Drosophila melanogaster: one gene and its partner. The protein of the gene in region 2 interacts with the protein of the main gene of each other region in a pairwise test. Each region holds a gene or a part of one and is shown on either strand. Other genes may lie near its edges.

What was found. Proteins that work in one complex are often made in the same cells at the same time.
Region 1: the proteins of Phax (region 2) and CG3769 interact in a two-hybrid assay, tested with the Drosophila melanogaster proteins (2 studies listed by BioGRID).

The regions. Positions count from the first base shown.
Region 1 is NT_033779.5:9,433,662-9,437,342, reverse strand, and holds CG3769 (uncharacterized protein), read right to left. Parts: upstream 1,945-3,681; 5' UTR 1,834-1,944; coding exon 1,630-1,833; intron 1,519-1,629; coding exon 616-1,518; 3' UTR 501-615; downstream 1-500. Other genes in the region: RpS28-like (ribosomal protein S28-like), read right to left, coding at 160-390; scat (scattered), read right to left, coding at 2,428-3,681.
Region 2 is NT_033778.4:9,109,614-9,116,530, reverse strand, and holds Phax (phosphorylated adaptor for RNA export), read right to left. Parts: upstream 2,258-6,917; 5' UTR 2,184-2,257; coding exon 2,139-2,183; exon of another isoform or gene 2,081-2,138; coding exon 1,348-2,080; intron 1,293-1,347; coding exon 1,201-1,292; intron 1,148-1,200; coding exon 871-1,147; intron 813-870; coding exon 598-812; 3' UTR 501-597; downstream 1-500. Other genes in the region: Su(var)2-10 (suppressor of variegation 2-10), read right to left, coding at 80-208; Mys45A (mystery 45A), read left to right, coding at 2,660-3,136, 3,199-4,860; tsu (tsunagi), read right to left, coding at 5,049-5,485, 5,575-5,635.

The sequences.
Region 1 (3,681 bases), on a different chromosome or scaffold from region 2:
GCCAGCCTGCATCCCTGACATGGCGTTGCCACTCTGTGGAATTGTGCTACCCTTAATTAAAAGTTTACTGGTTAATTGCAAAGTTGCTATTTTAAAATCGTTATAGGCTGATTTTCGCAGTTAGGTATTTTTTCTCAATTTTATTTATTCTGCATTCACCTAGCATATATCTTCAAAATTGCTATTGCTCCTGCTCGAAGATTGCCATGTCAACTCAGTGTCCTCGAAATCCACGATATCTCCCAGACGCACAGGTCCCTTGACCGTCCGCATGAATTGCATCTTGGGTTGATCGACCAGCTGCACACGAACTTCGGTTAGAATGCCTCGGGCTCCAATCCGATTGAGAATTTTTATGACACGAGCCTTGGAAGCGACAGGTTGGGGCATATTTTTTGACTAAAGTCAAACTAGCTGTGGTAATAAATTGATAAATTTAATGCTGAATTTTTTTCGAATTTTAACTTTCAGACCTAAAATGAACTCCAGACACTAAAAGTACAGCTTTCTAAACATTTAATTTAGGGGTATGTAACTTACAATATCAAATGACAGTTTTGTTTTGGATATTTTAGAATACTTTGAGGTACATCTTTGCTTAATCCCAGCCGCTTATTAAGTTTGAACACTTTCGAACTTTCCGCGCAGCAAGACATCCCTCATTAATCCTGCGAGTTCCTCGTTCTTCTGCGATCGGATCTCATCGATGACTAACTCCTTGAAACCAGGGTCCTTGGCCGGATCGGTGGTTTCTTTTAGCTTCTGCTTCTCTAGCTGCAGCTGCGGTACTTCCATTCCGAATGTGGCTCCAATTCGCTCCACACTTTGGGCGCCAGTATCACCAATTTTCGACCAACTGTCCGTTCCAAACCAAATGCACAGTGGTTCATTGAAGTCCACGACATGAGAGCGGAACGGATGAGCAGGACTGCCAAATCCCAAGTGACAAATGGTGTCCCTCAGGACCTTGGCCAACTTGGGCATCTTCTGGGAATAGAACAGCAATGCGCCACCTATGAGGTGGGCCATCGATCGCAAGCAGCGGCAGGTGTGCTTCCTGATAATAGGATCGAAACCAGAAAACACATCGTACTTCCCACCGACAATTATCACTGGAAAGGGCAGAGGGTCTAGTTTTTCCGAATCTTTGTTCTGCTGACCCACTCGCTCCACTGTTCGCTGTTCGAGGATTTCCCTAAGCTCCGGTGTTACCTTCTCCATCATCTGCTGCGCCGTATCCCTCAGTCCCTTGTATGCGCACTCCAAATCCGTCCAAAATCGCTGTGGCTGGGAGAGATCTAGCATAAGGATGACGGCTAGTTGCTGCAAACCATGTGTCCGCATTGGTACTTCCAGCAATTGCTCGGCATTGTCCAGGGAGCCCAGTTCCCAAACGTTCATCACCTGCGGTGACTTTCCACTGCCAATCCGTCGTCCAAAGCTGTACTCCAGTGCTAGAGTTGGCCGCGTTGCGTGTTCCTCGCGATCAAAGAACTTATTAATGGCCGTCGTCTTACCCTTAAATAATAAAAAATATAATATTTTTAAAAAGGGGTTTGTAGATTTTTAGTGTATAACTTTTTTGGAATATGATTTTACGTGGATTTATAAGTTGGATCCATTGCTTACCACACACTTGCTTCCCAAGACAAGAATTGTCCGCTCTTTGGGAGTCGTTGTGGCCTCCAATTGGCGAAGCCGCTGCTGCTCCTCCGCCAGTCGACCGGCGATGTCCTGAATGCTGGGCGTGGCACTTTCGCCGCCCTCAGTTCTCTTTACAAACATTTTTTGAAGACGCTGGTGCAGGCTATGAAAGATTAGCGGCAAGCGCATCGCAGGAAAAGGGCATAAACTAAACTACTGCGGTTTGTTTTGCATTTAAAACGGTTGCTACTAGCAACTGCGACTGAGTGGCAACTCTAGGCAATATCAAACTGACCGTTACTTTCACCCCTAAGTTGCATAAATTTGAATATACATTTGAACATAAAGGATAGCTTTAATTTTGGATTTCCTTTATTTATTGGTTGTCATCTGATTAAATTAAACATTAAAAAATATATATATTCCAAATAGAAATCCAGCTAACGATAATAATACTAAAGGAACAAGGGAATCGTTTACCGCCATTGATTTGTACGCATTGAAATTTGTTGATTATTTTCTATTCTTTAATCATAAGCCTTCCATCGACTTTAAGCTTAAGTGTTAAAAAAGTGCGCAACAAAAGAGATACATTTCCAATTTCCTTTTGCTATAGGGCGGAACATAAAAGTACAAGCAATGTACAGCGGCAAACAAGATAGACTGAACTGGACGCGACAATCGGTATTGTATAAATAAAACAAGGATAACAAACAATGAAGACGAACTAGGCTGGGCGGTCGGAGGATTTCCGCGGCAACCATATGGAATACTTCGGAATGCTCAGTAGAGCCAGATCTCCTCCAGAATCCCGTTGTCTAGCTGCTCGGCGGGCAGGGCTTTCAGTGTGCGCAGCGTCTCCATGTAGAAGGTCAGCTCTGATGTCACCACCCCGTGCTGCGGACCCCCATTGTTGTTCACATTCAACTTGAGCAGTTGTTCCCGCAGCTTGTCTTTAAAGTTTCGATGAACAACGCCGTAGATTTCGTGTATCTGTGCCTCCGGCAGCACACCGGCGATGGCCTCGTGAAGTTTCACCAGGTGACGCGAGATGTGACGGAATGTCTGAGAAGGTATAGGTGGTCTGGCTTCCCAGGCATCCAGTTGAGCTGCCAATCTCTCGGATACAATTCCGTGTATTTTATTCTCGATCTCCTTGATGTGACCCTGGTAGTCCCGCTCGATAGTTTCGTATCCGCTCATCGCTTGGAAATGCTCTTTCAGCTTGGGCAGTAGCCATAGAACTAGTTGCAGTGCTCGCGAAACCAGAGCCAGGTTGGTGCTCGTTATGGTTTTTAGCCCAGCAACTCGCATTGCTCCTGCTCCGATAATTAGTTGGCAGCTTCTTGAGTTGAAGCAGCGCAGCAGGTCCACCACATTCCTGGCGTGATAGCTGGCTAACAATGGCAGCCGATGTGCACTACAACCGTACTCATACAACATTCGGATGAGCATTAGCGAAGCGCTGACCAACGTGTACGGTTGTTTGCCTTCCACCAAGAGCACTGGGTTGCCTGCTCCATTGCTTATCAGATTGCCCATCTCCGGTTTGGCATAGTCCCCGGCGGCCATACGTTCGATTATTCTCTGAAATTCGTGCGGAATGTCTACTTGGCGCCAGCGCTCCTGATCCAGGAGTAAGGACAACTTCTGCTTTCGTTCAGAATGGAATCGTTGAGCATATCGGGAGGCTTGGACTTTGAGGGCCAGCTGGAGGGGCACACTGGCCACTCCACAAATGCTCCTTGTTGTCTCGCCAAAGTGATCCACAATCTCAGATAGTTGGAAAAGTTCTTGCTCGCTAGCTGAGCTCCTTTCCAGGCTCTGAGGGGACACAATGTTGGCACAACGCTCATGGCAGTAGTGGCAGACGGCTTGAAGCAGTTGTTGCAATTGGTTTTTTAGTTGCTCATGGTGTCCCGGACTCAAAAAGGCTTCTGAATCTATCAGATTCACTGCGTCCTGGGCTCCCACAGCTGCGTCCGCTGTTTGCTGCATTATACCAACTACAGTTTTAATTCTTTCGAGAATGGAAAC
Region 2 (6,917 bases):
ACTGCTTATCAATAACCATGGCCCCCATATTTATGAAAAATTCTTTGGACTGAATAAACTGAGACTGGCGGAAACATACCTTGTACTTGGTGGAATCAAAGGGATTAACTGCTATTGGCGCTGACGAAGTCGACTGGTGCCCGGGGCTCGAAGATGTTGCGGCATTTTCCGCCTGCGTGCGAGCCGTCTGAGAGCGGGTCTTTCGCATCACTATTATTTTCTATTCACGGTGGCGTTAGGCGTTCGGCAATTGAAGTCGCGGACTCGTTTGCATTTGCCTGGGACGCGCACCACACATAAAAACAAGCAATTGCCGCTGTTTTTCAACGAATGCGGAGAAACAAAAATATTTTACGCGGCGTCGTCGCTGTGGGCCGACTAGAGTTGACACTATCGATCGACACTGCGGAAATCTCTACCGCCTGGCCGAGTCTTGTCTCACGCAGCCCGAAAATGCCCTAACGCGTGCGTTTGTTTACTTTGTTAGCAACCGTTACTTTCGTAGATTCCTAATTCGCTAGGCATTTATTTAATTGTACAAATATGGGTCTATCTATGCAAGAATAGTATAAAAGGGGCCCGCCGCTTGGCGTGGGCCTAGAAAAAGTCCATGTCCCCGCAATTGACGTCCAGAAAGTCGTGGTCGTAGCTGATTAAATCCTTCAGCGGCGCTCCCTGAGCCGCCGCCGCTGCTTTGGATGTGGAGGGAAGTTCCGCATTGTCCACAAGATTTATATTGATCTCGTGGGTCCTGTACTCAGGGCTGTCGTGCTCCTGCTCAGCGCCAACAGGGGAGGGTGGCGGGTTGGACACTGAAATAGTCAAAATAGTCACATAGGAGATTTAACAATAATAATGGGATCTTCTTACAGCTGCCCGGTTGCTTATCTTCACTTTGCTCGTCGCCCTGCATGTAGTACTCTTTGCGCTGATTTAACGTCGGCAGTTCCGTAACCTGCTTGCTGAGGCACTTCTTCAACTCTTCCACCTTACGGTCCCGCATCAACGTTTCGATCTGCTTTCGAGACTTGCTCAGACTCTGGCGATCCTCACTAAAAATGCGCTTCTGCTGCTCCTGAGTGATGTTATCGTGGTGCTTTATTAGGAACAGGAATACCCCGCCTGGTGTACGTCTCCGTATGCCGTTCTGTTTCGAGGTATCGTGTTAGTATATTCGGGGGAACATCCTTTACTACTTACTTTGATCATCATGCCGCCATCGGCTTCAATGCGCTGAGTTTCCTTGTATAGCTCTAGGCACACATCTATGCCAAGAACCTCCACGACTCGAACTGGTAAAACTGGCATTATTTACTAAGTAGGGCATTATTTATTTCACATACTCACCAAGTAATTCGTCCTTTTCCTCGTACAGTTTGCTGGCCATTTCGGTAGCCACATCCGAAGGATCTCTCTCACCCACTTCGTTTAAGTCCAGAATGTGTCTGGGCTCGCAGAAATCGGAAGATCCGCTGGCCGAAGATGTCCCACGACGTGACCGGTGACCCGTTCTACTCTTGACCAAACCGCGCTGTTGATTCCCGGTGATGGGCCGACTAGAAGGTCTTCCCCTCTTGTGAGCTGGATGGGAGCATTCGCCGCCGTCCTCCGAAGAGTTTGAGAGTCGTCGCTTTAGAGTGTTCTCGCCGTTCAGCCGGTATCGCAATGAGAAGTCGTAGTTTTCAACATTTCGATCCCGACCGCTTCGGGTAACGTCGCAGCCACGCATATTCTCGCTGAGCGCATCCTCTTGCAGGGCAGAAGCCCACACGTTGTACTTCTTGAAACGGGCTCGATTCGGTTGCATTTCAGCATCCGTGGGCGGAACGCGCCGCATTACCGTGCGCCGAATGCGCTTTTTCCGCTTCTTGTGGCCGTCGGGTCCGGTGGATTCCGTACGAAGCTTCTTGATGCACCCGTCCTCGGAGGATTCGGCAGTCGAGGAGTCGCTGTTGCTTTGTGACTCGTCCTCTAACGCAGTCTGGATCTGATGGCAGGTGGTAAGGGGACTGGCCACCTTCTCCGCACCGTCAGGTCGCTGCAACGGCGTGTAAACGCCATCATCGTCGCTCTCCGATAGCTGAAAGGCCGGCAGATATGGTCATTAGATGCTCGGTAGTCTGGGTGCTTATGATTACCTCGCCGTCCTCCAGGTCAACGTCATTTGCGTGCAGTTCCATCATTTTTTTTATGGCGAGTCGAGAGAAAATCTTCGCCCAAAGTGCAGCTGTTTGTGCAACACTGAGCGGCAGAGTGACCATACTTACTGAGGATTACTTGGTGCATAGTTAAATTATTATGTTTATATTATTGGTCTTTAATAGTGCAAAGATGTAAATTAGATTAGCTCGTGTTATATTTACAATAATAAAAAGATCAGCGTAACTAGGTGTTACTAGGCAAATTAAGTTTTGCGTAATTTAATACTTAGGTGGGGGTGAACAACATAGCTTATATTAATTAATATATTTTTTTTATTGAATTATATGTAAATAAGACTAAATGTATTTAATTTAATTAAATTAATAAACATAGTTTTAGGTGAGGCATTTCTGCTATACCCACAAACGGTCACACACCACACGTGCGTTTACTTTGCGAACCAAACAGAACGTGGTTGAAAATAATCGTAGTTTTTATACTGTTATAACGGCTCACCATGGTGCGGCCCAACAACAACCAGCTGCCGGAGAACCTTCCGCAGTTGCAGAACCTCATCAAGCGGGATCCGGAGTCGTATAGCGATGAGTTCCACATCCAGTACCAACACTTTCTTAGCTTGCTGGAAGTTTTTGCGCTGAATCCCAGCGAAGAAAACAAATCCCTGGATGACATCGTCATGTTTGTCGCCCAGGTGGCTCAGTGCTATCCGGCCGTCTGCGAGGAGTTCCCAAAGCGTCTTTCCGATTTGCTGAAGAACTATGCCACCGTTCTGGACCCGGCTATGCGTAACTGCTTTGTGAAAGCTCTAATCCTGCTGAGAAACAAGAACCTAGTGCCCGCGCTGGACATACTGGAACTGTTCTTTCAGTTGCTGCGGTGTCCGGACAAGAATCTGCGCACCTTTCTGCAAACGCACATTGTGACGGACATCAAGAATATGAATGCCAAGCACAAGGACATGAAGCTCAATTCGGTAAGACGCAGTCGTCAGCTACCACTGTTGGACTCAATCAATATTCATTTATGTCTTTGCAGAGCCTGCAGGCATTCATGTACTCCATGCTGAAGGATGCCAATCCGAAGGCAGCCAAGATGTCCGCTGATATCATGATCGAGCTGTACAAGAAAAACATATGGAATGATTCTAAGACGGTGAATGTCATAGCCACTGTGGGGTGCTTCTCTAAGGTAACAAAAGTACTGGTCACCTCGCTCAAGTTCTTCCTCGGCCACGACGAAGAGGATGAAGAGGAGGACACTGACAGCGAGAACGAGGTGGACCTTAAGGGTGCTCTGATGGCCAATCGAGTCAATAAGAAAACCAAGAAGCGGACCAAGCAACTGGCGCAGATCAAAAAGCAAGCGGTGAAGGCCCAGAAAAAGAAAAAGAACGCTCCAGCCTTTAACTTCTCAGGCATTCACCTGGTGCACAATCCGCAGGGAATGGCCGAAGGGCTCTTTAAGCAGCTGCAGGCCACCAACGAGCGATTTGAGGTGAAGCTAATGCATTTGGACGTTATTTCCCGGCTGATCGGCATCCACGACCTCTTCCTTTTCGGTTTCTATCCGTACATAACACGCTTTCTGCAACCCCACCAACGCCAGGTGACACGTGTGCTCCAGTTTGCCGCCCAAGCGTCCCACGAACTGGTTCCCGGAGACATCATCGAGCCTATCCTAAAGACGATCGCCAACAACTTCATTACTGAACGCAACTCCAGCGATGTGATGGCCATAGGTCTGAATGCGACGCGTGAGATTTGCATGCGATGTCCCCTGGCCATGGGCGAGGATTTGCTGCAGGACCTGGCAATGTACAAAACGTACAAGGAGAAGTCGGTGATGATGGCGGCACGGTCGCTAATCACACTCTACAGGGAACAGCTGCCTGCCCTGTTGCACAAAAAGGACCGAGGCAGGCAGACAGAGGCCCAGGCCGAACGAAAGGTTCGAGCCTACGGAGAGCGCGAAGTCCACGACACTGTCTTGGGTGCAGAGGCTCTGCTCAAGGACTCTAAGACTATTGACATAGAGAGCGAAGACGATACGGACTCAAACGATGGTGAATGGGTTAACGTGGCGCACAGTGATGGTGAGGGTGGTGGAGCGGACGATGATGAAGAAGACGAAGATGAGGATGAGGACGATGATGACGAAGACGAAGACGAAGAGAACAGTAATGACGAGGAGAATGAGGATGAAGATAATTCCGACGAAGGCGTGGAAAGTGGCGAAGAGTCCGCAAAGGCCAAGAAGGAAAAGAAAGATATGAGGATCCTTAACCAAAAGGAGGCTGCACAGGAACTGGCTCTTACTCGCATATTCACGGACGAAGATTTCAAGCGCATCAACGCGGCTAATCTTAAGAAGACCGTAACCAGTGCCCGCAAGAGACCACTTGAACAGGATCGCGCCGAGTTCGTCAAGCTGAACAGCATCGAGATGATCTACAAGAAGCGCAAGCACGACAAGGAGTCGCGGCTGGAGACTGTGCAGGCGGGCCGGCAGGATCGCGAGCGCTTTGGCTGGAAGGATGGGCGCGTGAACGAGCACTGTTCCAAGACGAACCGCGAGAAGCGCAAAACCAAGAACTTTGGCATGCTGCGACACAAGGCTCGCTCCAAGGTTAAGAAGAGCTTCAAGGACAAGCAGCAGGCGCTGAGAAAACATCTGCTGCATCAGAAAAAGATGAAGTAGTACCTTCTTGCGTTTCAAACCTCGTAGTGCTTTAAATGAATACCAATATAAGATATATAATTCTAACCAATTGATTGTATAAAGGGTAGTTGGTAGAGTTATCTGATTTATTTCAATTCATATAGACTTTGTACGGTTGCCTATTCATTAAACTATTTTAAAAAATTATTCTTGGGGCTGGGAGTCGTTTATCTGCGACGCTTTTCGGACTTTTTAACGCGCTTCGGTCCCTTAACGAAGCACCAGTCAACCTGAATGGTCTGTCCCATTATTTCGGCACCGTTCAGGGCCTCTTTGGCGGCGAGCGCCTGCTTGTGGGTCTCGTACTCGACGAGAGCGTATCCCTTTGAGAACCCAGTACGCCGGTCGAGGTTCAGGTGAATGTTCTTGATTTCTCCGTAATCGCAGAACTTTTCCTGAATCTCGTCCTCCTGCGCCTCCTCATGGATAGAGGTGACAAACAGTATCCAGCCCTCGACGGACCTTTGTGGACCAGGTTCCAGCTCATCGTCGTCCTCGTTGCGCACACGCTCGTAGCTGTGGATCGCCTCTCGGGTGTTACTGTCGCTTCCAAATCCGCGTCCCTTGCGGTGCTTCGCCTTTTCCTTCAGGCGCACAATGCCCTCTGTTTTGAGCGTAGGGTGCACGGCGCGGCGTGGGAGAAAATAGAAAGCATAAGACCGGTGGATTACAAAGCCTGCCGCAGCTACTTACGGTCACCGTCCTCGTCCACCTCGAACTCCTCCGCATTGTCAATGTCCAACACATCGGCCATTTTCTTTTTCTGTGTCTAAAAAGCAGAATGAATGGGTTTATTTTTATTTCGTTTTCGTTCCGCGTCTGGCCAGTTGCAAAAACTCTGCTGGAGATGGCATTATCGTCAGTGTTGGTTAATTCCGTTAGGAATACTATCGCCTGGATGTTTGGAAAATAATACTTACATTGGCCACAAATGTTCCGAAAATGTACAATGTTTAATTAATTAGCTTGGCTTTAATAAAATATGTTGAAGTTAAGGGTAAATTGTATCAGCCAAAATCACCTTAGCAAAATAATAAGATCCGGAGGATTGGACTTTCAAAATACTTAAGTTCTCCCGTTCTTTTTTATTCTGTAACCATCTAAAGTAGACTTATTAGGTGCGTTTTATCCAAATATGTATTTTTCAAATTAATACTCTAGCTTTATAGGTTATAGGCATTGAAAATTCTTTAACATATATTTAACACATTTAACATAGAACATTTAAAGACGGAGCTAAAAATTGTGTGCTTAATCGGTCGGTAAAATATTTTTGTAAAACATAATTTGAGGGCACCATTAATTTTTATTAACAGCTGACATTCAGCGTATATTTTAAAAATAATAAGTTCGGTCCAGTACCATTTGAAAAGCGTGCATTATTACACTGCAGACGCTGTTTGTCCCAAACCTAATATTTTTATTTTTTTTATCCAATCCTTTTAGTCACTCGATTTTCAGTATTTTATTTATCATATACAAATATTAATGTATTTGAATAGAATGTCGAAAAAGTCGACTCGATGTATGCGATTTAAGATTCATGTATGCATCTACATATTCATTTCAGTTACCAAAATCTGAAATAATAAGGGTATGCAAATGCATCATAACCCACAATTACAATGCCGCATTTAATTCCTTCTGCGAGATTATATGTTACTTTGCTCATATTTTCAACAAACATAGGTCTTTATATAAAACAATCCACAAATAGTGGTTACTTGCAGCCTATAAGTCAAAAACCCATTCTCTGCCGTTTCCCATGCCAATTGAATTTAAAACTGCCTAAACTAAGAACTAGACTTGCTAGACAACTAGACTGTTTATATCTGCCCTGTGTTTAAAGATAAAAGTACAAATATTTTATTATTAATTTTCATATATAAACGTTAATATGCCATCGTTAAAAGACGCACTATCGCCCAGTCACGTTGTCATCTCAAACTCACGGCATAAAAAAAATTTGACCGGGGTCCGCTTTGTCAAAATTTGCCGTATGTTTATAAAGGGGCGTGGCAGACTGACTATGTGTA